Drosophila melanogaster: one gene and its partner. The protein of the gene in region 2 interacts with the protein of the main gene of each other region in a pairwise test. Each region holds a gene or a part of one and is shown on either strand. Other genes may lie near its edges.

Evidence for each region. Proteins that work in one complex are often made in the same cells at the same time.
Region 1: the proteins of DCTN2-p50 (region 2) and slam interact in a two-hybrid assay, tested with the Drosophila melanogaster proteins (one large-scale study listed by BioGRID).

The regions. Positions count from the first base shown.
Region 1 is NT_033779.5:6,370,246-6,373,999, reverse strand, and holds the start of slam (slow as molasses), read right to left. Parts: upstream 1,613-3,754; 5' UTR 1,419-1,612; intron 705-1,418; 5' UTR 424-704; coding exon 1-423.
Region 2 is NT_033778.4:8,889,974-8,893,727, reverse strand, and holds DCTN2-p50 (dynactin 2, p50 subunit), read right to left. Parts: upstream 1,897-3,754; 5' UTR 1,775-1,896; coding exon 1,739-1,774; intron 1,655-1,738; coding exon 733-1,654; intron 667-732; coding exon 482-666; 3' UTR 389-481; downstream 1-388. Other genes in the region: CG8272 (uncharacterized protein), read left to right, coding at 2,428-2,478, 2,610-3,754. UniProt on the Drosophila melanogaster protein: Modulates cytoplasmic dynein binding to an organelle, and plays a role in prometaphase chromosome alignment and spindle organization during mitosis. May play a role in synapse formation during brain development.

The sequences.
Region 1 (3,754 bases), on a different chromosome or scaffold from region 2:
CTTGGCAATTGTGCTGGCCACTTTACCCGTGTTACCCGCTGCCTTGGTGGTACCCAGTGTCTTTGTTGGCGTCACAGGTACCTCTTCGTCGAAGTACTTCATCAGATTCTCGATGCTGGACAAGTCCAGGTCGGTAACCTGCACTCGGCGCGGTGATGCAAACGAGTTTTGGTACTCCAGGGCGGTCAGGAAGCGATCATCATCCAGCGAGGAAATCTCGAAGAGTTCCTCCCTGGTCATCGTAGCTCGGAGCAGGCCACAGGCGGTGCTGGCATCTCCGTGGCGGCTGGAGCGACGACGTTCCTCGATCTCCGCGTTCAGCTGCAGTAGCTCGCTGAGATCATCACTGTTCATGGCTGCCGTGTCCACTACCATCTGGTTGTGCTTGGACTGGTTGTTCGGCGTGGAATTGCTTAGGACCATTTTGGTATTAGTTTGCTGTCTTGTTGTTGACGTTAGACGTTTCAGTTTGTAACTGTGGCTTTCTGGCATTTTGCTAATAGCTTATATACAATGATCAGGTAAAATATGGATTGGGTGCAGATTTTATTGCCCACCCACTGCCTCAGATTTTCCTTAATCCAACTAGCAGCGATCAGGTAAGATTAACAGCCGCAGCTGTCGGATCGATGGATTTTCCTCGCGCTAACCGATATTTAATTATTTTCGCGAACCTTTCCGCTATAAATATATATCCAGGTGACCTGAAACAAAGAAAACAGGTAGGTAATATTAGGGCTGTGCAATAGATGTAAAATGTAAGGTTCTGGAAAGAAGGGATAACCGAGGATTCACTCGAAAGACAGCTGACGGAAAGTCCTTAAAATTTAAATTCCAATTATTGCAGTAACTCAGCGAAATCAACTCCCAGCATCATCATTATACTGCAACCGAACGAATTTTCCGAGAAAAATGCGAATGTTAACAAGACCCAGGCGAATTGCAGCCACAATAAAAATCACACACTGAAAATTCTTCATCTGACTATTGCTGAAATTTGGAGCGAAAACGAACCGAATTCAGGACCCCAGGGATAAGCAGAACTTTGCTTGCAGTTTGCCACAAAGTGACTTTCACACCGACAGAGCCATAAAATGAAATCAGGGGCTGAGATTTGCGGATGCTCAGGTGGCAGAGCTGGAGCTGATGAGTTACAGAGCTACAATGATAAGTTCCATAATGGGATACATCTTTTAACTGCCTGATATTTAACGATTTTATCTTTAATTTTTGGTTTTAATGCGCTTTTTTACTTTTAGCAAAACGGAGTGCCTATTTTTTTATCACAAAGCTGAAGTTGTTTACATGGGAAGGGTATACTTTCCAAATATTCCAAATTTTCAAGACAAAAGCGTTCTCTAACCCTTTTTTGGGCTTTCTAAAACAGGCCGGCTATTTATATAAATTAGTTAACTTACTTTGTTAAGGATTTCCTTGTTGAACTATGATCTACTTTAGGCAACACAGTATTTAACACGCACAACTTCATAAACAAATTACAAATTAATTTTGTAAACAAAAGACCGCGAAAAAGCGTGGTTATTTGCGCCAAATAACATAGTACATTTACATCGATCTAAGGGCTCATTTGCCGGCTTTACGGAATATCACAGCTGATAATAAAGCCAATCACCACGAATTAAGAATCAGCTGATTGAATCAGCATCAAAGCTCAGTGCTTTTTAAACCGTAAACTAATCTAGACTTTAAATATCATCATGGGCTCAAGAAAATGATTAGAATGTCAATAACTTATATTCTAGGCAGACCAGTGAAGATATGAGAATTCGATGGCTATTAACGGCCAAAACGGCTTACAACTCAATGATACGATAAATTCAAACGGATTGCTCCCGTGGCCTGAATTCTATCAGACGTGCCTTTATTGGTATCTGAATATATTGCTATTTAAGCCAAAAGAGGCACACCAAAATCATTCAGATGGACAGTAGTTGGTCAGTTGGCAAATACCCCAAATGACAAACAAAGCAATCCCCGAAATACCATTCGACGGTGAAAAACATTTACAAACATTGTGGTCGCCAACAGCAGCGGCAAAAATTTAGTGGGTGCTTTATGATAAACTCATGTGGCTGGCGTTCCATATCCAACTGGAATGGACGGGGACGCAGTGGTTCCACTTGCTAAGTAGCCACCGCTTCTGTCGGCGACACCGGAACGCGAATATTTGGTTTCAGATTTTGGGCACTCAATGCAGGGCCATGCAATTTTGAAAATCTGAGCGGCGGCATGTACCCCGCTTTATCAGTGCGGGTTAATTAGACACTACCAGTTCTGTAATGTTGGCAATTATTTCATTGCCGCAAAATCCGTTTACTCGCATAACATGCCCACAATCGGTCTGAATGACGATGCGCGACTTGTAATTTCATCAGCCCTATCAGTCCGTCCGTCCGTCTGTCAGTCTGTCTGTCTGTCTGTCTTCCAGTGCGCCACCTTCGCTGGCAAATCAATCAATTCCGCACAGACCCACATACATACATACATACTTACTCCGCCGAGCGAGCGCACGTGACATGGAACCCCGAGTGGCGGGCAAGACCGCCGGAATCCGGGGGTCAAGGAACGAACCTCAGCCGAGCCGAGTGGAGCACCGCCGTGGCGATCAGAAGCAGCGAGTTTGTTGCTGGCTTCCGACTAACACCACACCATTCGCAATTCGCTGCTCCGATTGCGTCACTCGGCTTTCCGCGTTCCGCTGGCCAAGCGGTTTATTTTAAAACTAATTATAAGCCAGCCCAAATATAATGCACAGCCGCTTTGAATTACATGAATGAATGAAATTCAGCACTGATAAGCCGTTCGACGGAAAGAGGAACTGCTGGCCATATCGCAATAGCCCACACTCAGCATAATGTAGCCGCGTTGGATGAGCTCTGGAATTCAGACTGCTAAAGATGTGTTTATCCTTTACATTTTGCTGACTCACAAGAAACTAGAAAATAATCTGAAACATACCAAATTGGAACCGCAGAATATTGATTTAGATGACTGAGCCCCACACCCCATTTCACATGAGTAGCTCGAGTGTCTCGAGGCATACGTTCTTTATCGCAGAATCAATTCAAGTTTCCCGTTTCTAGTCCATTTGTGGGGCAAAGACAAACGTACGGTCGCCCATTCATCGGAAACAACCACGATTTGGGGCTGACCGCTGTTTGACACGCGGCTCACGCGCTATCATCCCGGCAGGTTGTTAATGGCCCATTAATGCGGTTGCCAGGCGAAACCGACCGCTTGCCACGCGCCTTCAAGACCCACGCGGCGTATGAGCGATTTGCGCGACGACCTTCAACAAGTTGCACAGTGCAACCACCGACTTGGGGCCGGGATTTGGAATCTAAGTCGGATTCTGGATGGTCGTCGCCCTCTGGGCTGCCGTCTGCTCCGCGCAGGATGGGTGTTAATTAGCAAATAAATAAAAGCACGCCGGGTAACACATACGCACCGTGGGCAAGCAAGGAAAAGCACACGTGAGCTCTTCGGCAGAGGAAATCGGCAAAAGTTCAAGGTGCACAAACAGAGTCGAAACATTTTGTACTTTTAAAAAGGTTCTCGCTCACACTGTTAAATATTTCGACTGAAGGAAGCATCCCATTTTCTTTATTTCCTCTGCGTAGGTGTGAGTACCTACCCCCCTATTTTTTCAGTGCCTGACAGCGAACATCCTGGAAGGGCATCTACTGCTCACCGATGTCTTGTCTATCACGTTGCACACGTAATTGAAAATTAA
Region 2 (3,754 bases):
GAATGCAATTTGTACTCGCTTGCGCTGCAACGAGACTTTTTGATCTTGAATTTAACTGGAATCGTTAATATTTTTAAGAACCGTAGGAACGGCCAGTGTGACCGTGCTCTGAGCCAACGTAATATACCACAGGGCACGCACTGAAATACCAAATGCGTGCGACCAGAATATACTGCGAGTTTAACGGTATGCAATTTAAATATTCCGTTTCAATGTGCAATTTTAAAAATAGTTTTTATCAGTATACATTATTAAAAATGATAGTCGAAATTATTTAAAGATTTATTTTCCATCGCATTTTATATTCGTAAACTAGCTTCAGCACTTTTAATATTAATATTTATTATGAACTCATTTTAAATTCCAGATCACTTTGCATTTATTTTTTGACTGGAACTGGACTCGAATGTAGATCTCTTTATTATAGGTATCTTTCATAAATATAAGCTATGTTTATTTAATACGCATGGTATGCATCCACTCATTTGGCAGACGATATGGCCGCCACACGCTGCTCCACCTTGGCCACCTTGCTGTTGATAGTCTCCAGATTCTGGGCGAAAGTCTCCTGTACGGAATGCAGCAGCTCCTTGTTGTTCACCAAGCTAGTGGTGATGGTTCCCTGCTTCTGCTCAATCTCTGCGATGATCTTGGCGAAATTGTTTGCTGCAGAGCAAGTTGATTAGTTACAGAAACAAGCACAATGCTAAAATGCTAAATAGAATTGCTTACCATATTTATGGAGGGCCTCGAGGGCTTGCATGCGTTCGATGACGTGCGGCAGTATTTCCACCACTGGCTCCGTGCGCTTCGCGATGTCGTATAGTTCCGTAATCTTCTGATCTCGTTTGGCGTCCTGGGCACTGCCGCTGGACTTTTCGGCGATAGCATCCATCTTGCCGGCCAGCGAGGTCAGGCGCTGCTCGATGGTGTCCAGTTTATCAGGCTGTATCAGGGCCGCCTTGGTGCTTAGATGACGCACTGCCTCTAGTACATTGGTGGTGTTGGTGGCGGCGGTAAGGCGGCTCAACTTGTCCGGCTGAGCGCCCAGCACCTTCTCCAGCTGCGAGATTCGCTGCTCTAGACTGGCTACGCGGGCCGTGGCCGCCAGATCGGTGCCAGGCGTGGGTATGGCTGTGAGAACGCCGGACTGCTTGAACTCCTCCACCTGGCTAATGAGTGCTTTCACCTGCTTACTTCCAGGCGTCTGCTCCTTGCCCAGCACTTGCTCCAGCTTCAGCGACTCCAGCACCTTTCGGGCCGTGCTGATAACCGTGGCCACCGCATCGTACGACTGCTTCTCCTCGTCGGCTACCTTGCGGTCCACCTGCAAGGCGGCCACCTCGTTCAGAAGCTCGTTCATCTCGATCTGCAGGCGCTGGCACTTCTGCACCGGCGTCTCCTTCTCGCCCTGGCCAACCAGCTCGTAGTCGCTGGAGCCGCGCGTATCGTAACCCCGGCACATGCGTCGTCCAATGCGATCCGTGAAGTCCACACTCCCCTCGACCGTTGCTCCGCTGAAGCGCTTGTGAGCGACGCTCGGCGAGATGTGCAGTCGCTCGATGGCTTCGTTCTCCGGCTCCTCTTCGTAGTAGTCGGATGTATCGAGCTCCGGGTCATCTGGAGTTTCGTACACGTCCGGCTGGTCATAAGCCTAAAAACATAAAGTACATATATGTATAAATGGGCAAAAACGAAAGCTTAAACGTCACTGCCATGGTGCGGAGTTCCGACTTACTATTCCCGGTAGGTTCTGGAACTTGGGATCGGCCATTATTGTGGGCACGTCGACGGCGGTGTTTGGAATCCTTTGGCAACGAAATAATTATAAACCTTCAAAAATCCTTTTTTACAACAATCAATTCGATCTGATGTCATAAAAAAAGTTACCGTGCGCGGTTACCAAACAAATGCCAAAGTGCAGTTGTCATTGGAGTATTTATAAACAGAGGTATCTAAAAAGTCATTTAAAAAAGACAGTTATTACTTGTAACGGCTAATAAGCTAAGAGTAAATAGTATTGCAAAATATATCATCGATATAAATAAATTGTACTTGCACATTGTACTTTGTTAACTGGATTCATAGATGCAAACATTTATAAAAATAAATTAAAGCTTTTTGTGCTAATTTAAACCTATTTTGATTTTAGGAAAAACGATATACATTTAAAATCATTCATAAGCAATAGGTAAATAATTCCATGATCGACTTCCAATTGGTAAATCAATGAAGGTACACTTTTCTTCTGGTATTTTATAGACCAGTGAGGATAGAAAAAAGGCACGGTCCTACTGTACCTAGCACAGGTACTAAGTTAGTCAACACTGTAGTTTTCGTGTAGTTTGCGGGCGAAGCGAGTGGGCGGTGGGAGCTGCTAGTTGGTTGTACTAATCTTAATATTTTGCATCCGAAAACAATAGAGTAATGTCTGGCTTAGAGTACGGGTTGCATAGATACGATGATCTGCCGCTGGAGGTGAGCATATAATGTGAACGGACTGCCGCGGTCCCGTGACCAATCCATCATTTCGAGCGTATCTATATCTGCATATTCATATACCTGTTAGGGCAGTCAGCTGATTTTGTTTTTTTCTGTTCCGCCCCCAGATTGTTTTGAAGATTTTCAGCTATCTCGGCTACTCGGACTTACAAGCGGCAGGATCCACCTGCCAGCGATGGCATGCGGCGCTGGATCAGGCGGAATTTAACCAGCGCACGCGAGTCTGCTTCTCCAAGGTGGTGCTATCGGATCAATTGAGTCCTGGAGTGGATCTGATGCGCTGCGAGCGGCGTTTCCAGCACTTCCTGTTCGAGGACGTGACACTGGGACAAGTAAAGGAATTGATGCGCTTCATGGGCAGGACCGCTCAGTCCCTGGCTCTGGACAATGTGGATTTGAATGACAAACAGTTCTACGGCATGCTGGGCGTGCTGCCCCATCTCCACTCGCTGTCGCTGAAGCGCTGTCTGCCGCTGTTCATGTCCGGCTCTTTCCTGGACTCTTACAACAACTCCTGTCCTGACCTAAACGACCTGGCAAGCAATCTGGCCGGCATCAAGGAGCTGACGCTGTGCGAGAACCAATACCTCACGGATGCCATTCTTATGCGTCTCACATCGTTCATGCCCAGTCTGGAAGCGATTAACATGTCCGGCTGTCACATAGCCTTTCACAATGCTATTCATCGCAGATTTTACCCTGCCACCAGCTCCTCGGATCACGTTTTGCCCAGCGAGTCTGTGCTCACGTTCAAGTTCATCCTCACCATTCTGAACCTGCAGCGACGTACGTTGCGCGTGTTGAACTTTAGCCACACCCTAATTGGCCAGGCTTTGTTGGCCCTTTGCGACCTCAATCTCCAACTGCAGCGCCTCTATTTGGCCGGATGCAGACAGCTTAACTGCACCACAATCCTGAACTTTCTAGCCACACAGCCCCAGTTGTGTGCCCTCGATTTGTCGGCCACAATGTGTGTTAACGATGAAAATCTGGCCGCCTTGGTACAAACTAATCCGCAGCTGGAGCACTTGAAGGTGAACGGCTGCCTGAGCATTACAAATGCTGGTGCCATCCACTTGGCCAAGCTAAAGTGTCTCAAAAGTCTGGACATCTCAAACTGCGATAACTTGACAAGCAGCGGCATCATAGAAGGCATCGCTAGCGAGGAGAATCCGGTAATACAGGAGCTGAACGTTTCATACCTTCAGATCTGCGAGGAATGCATCAAGGCAATTGCCAGTAACCTACGATG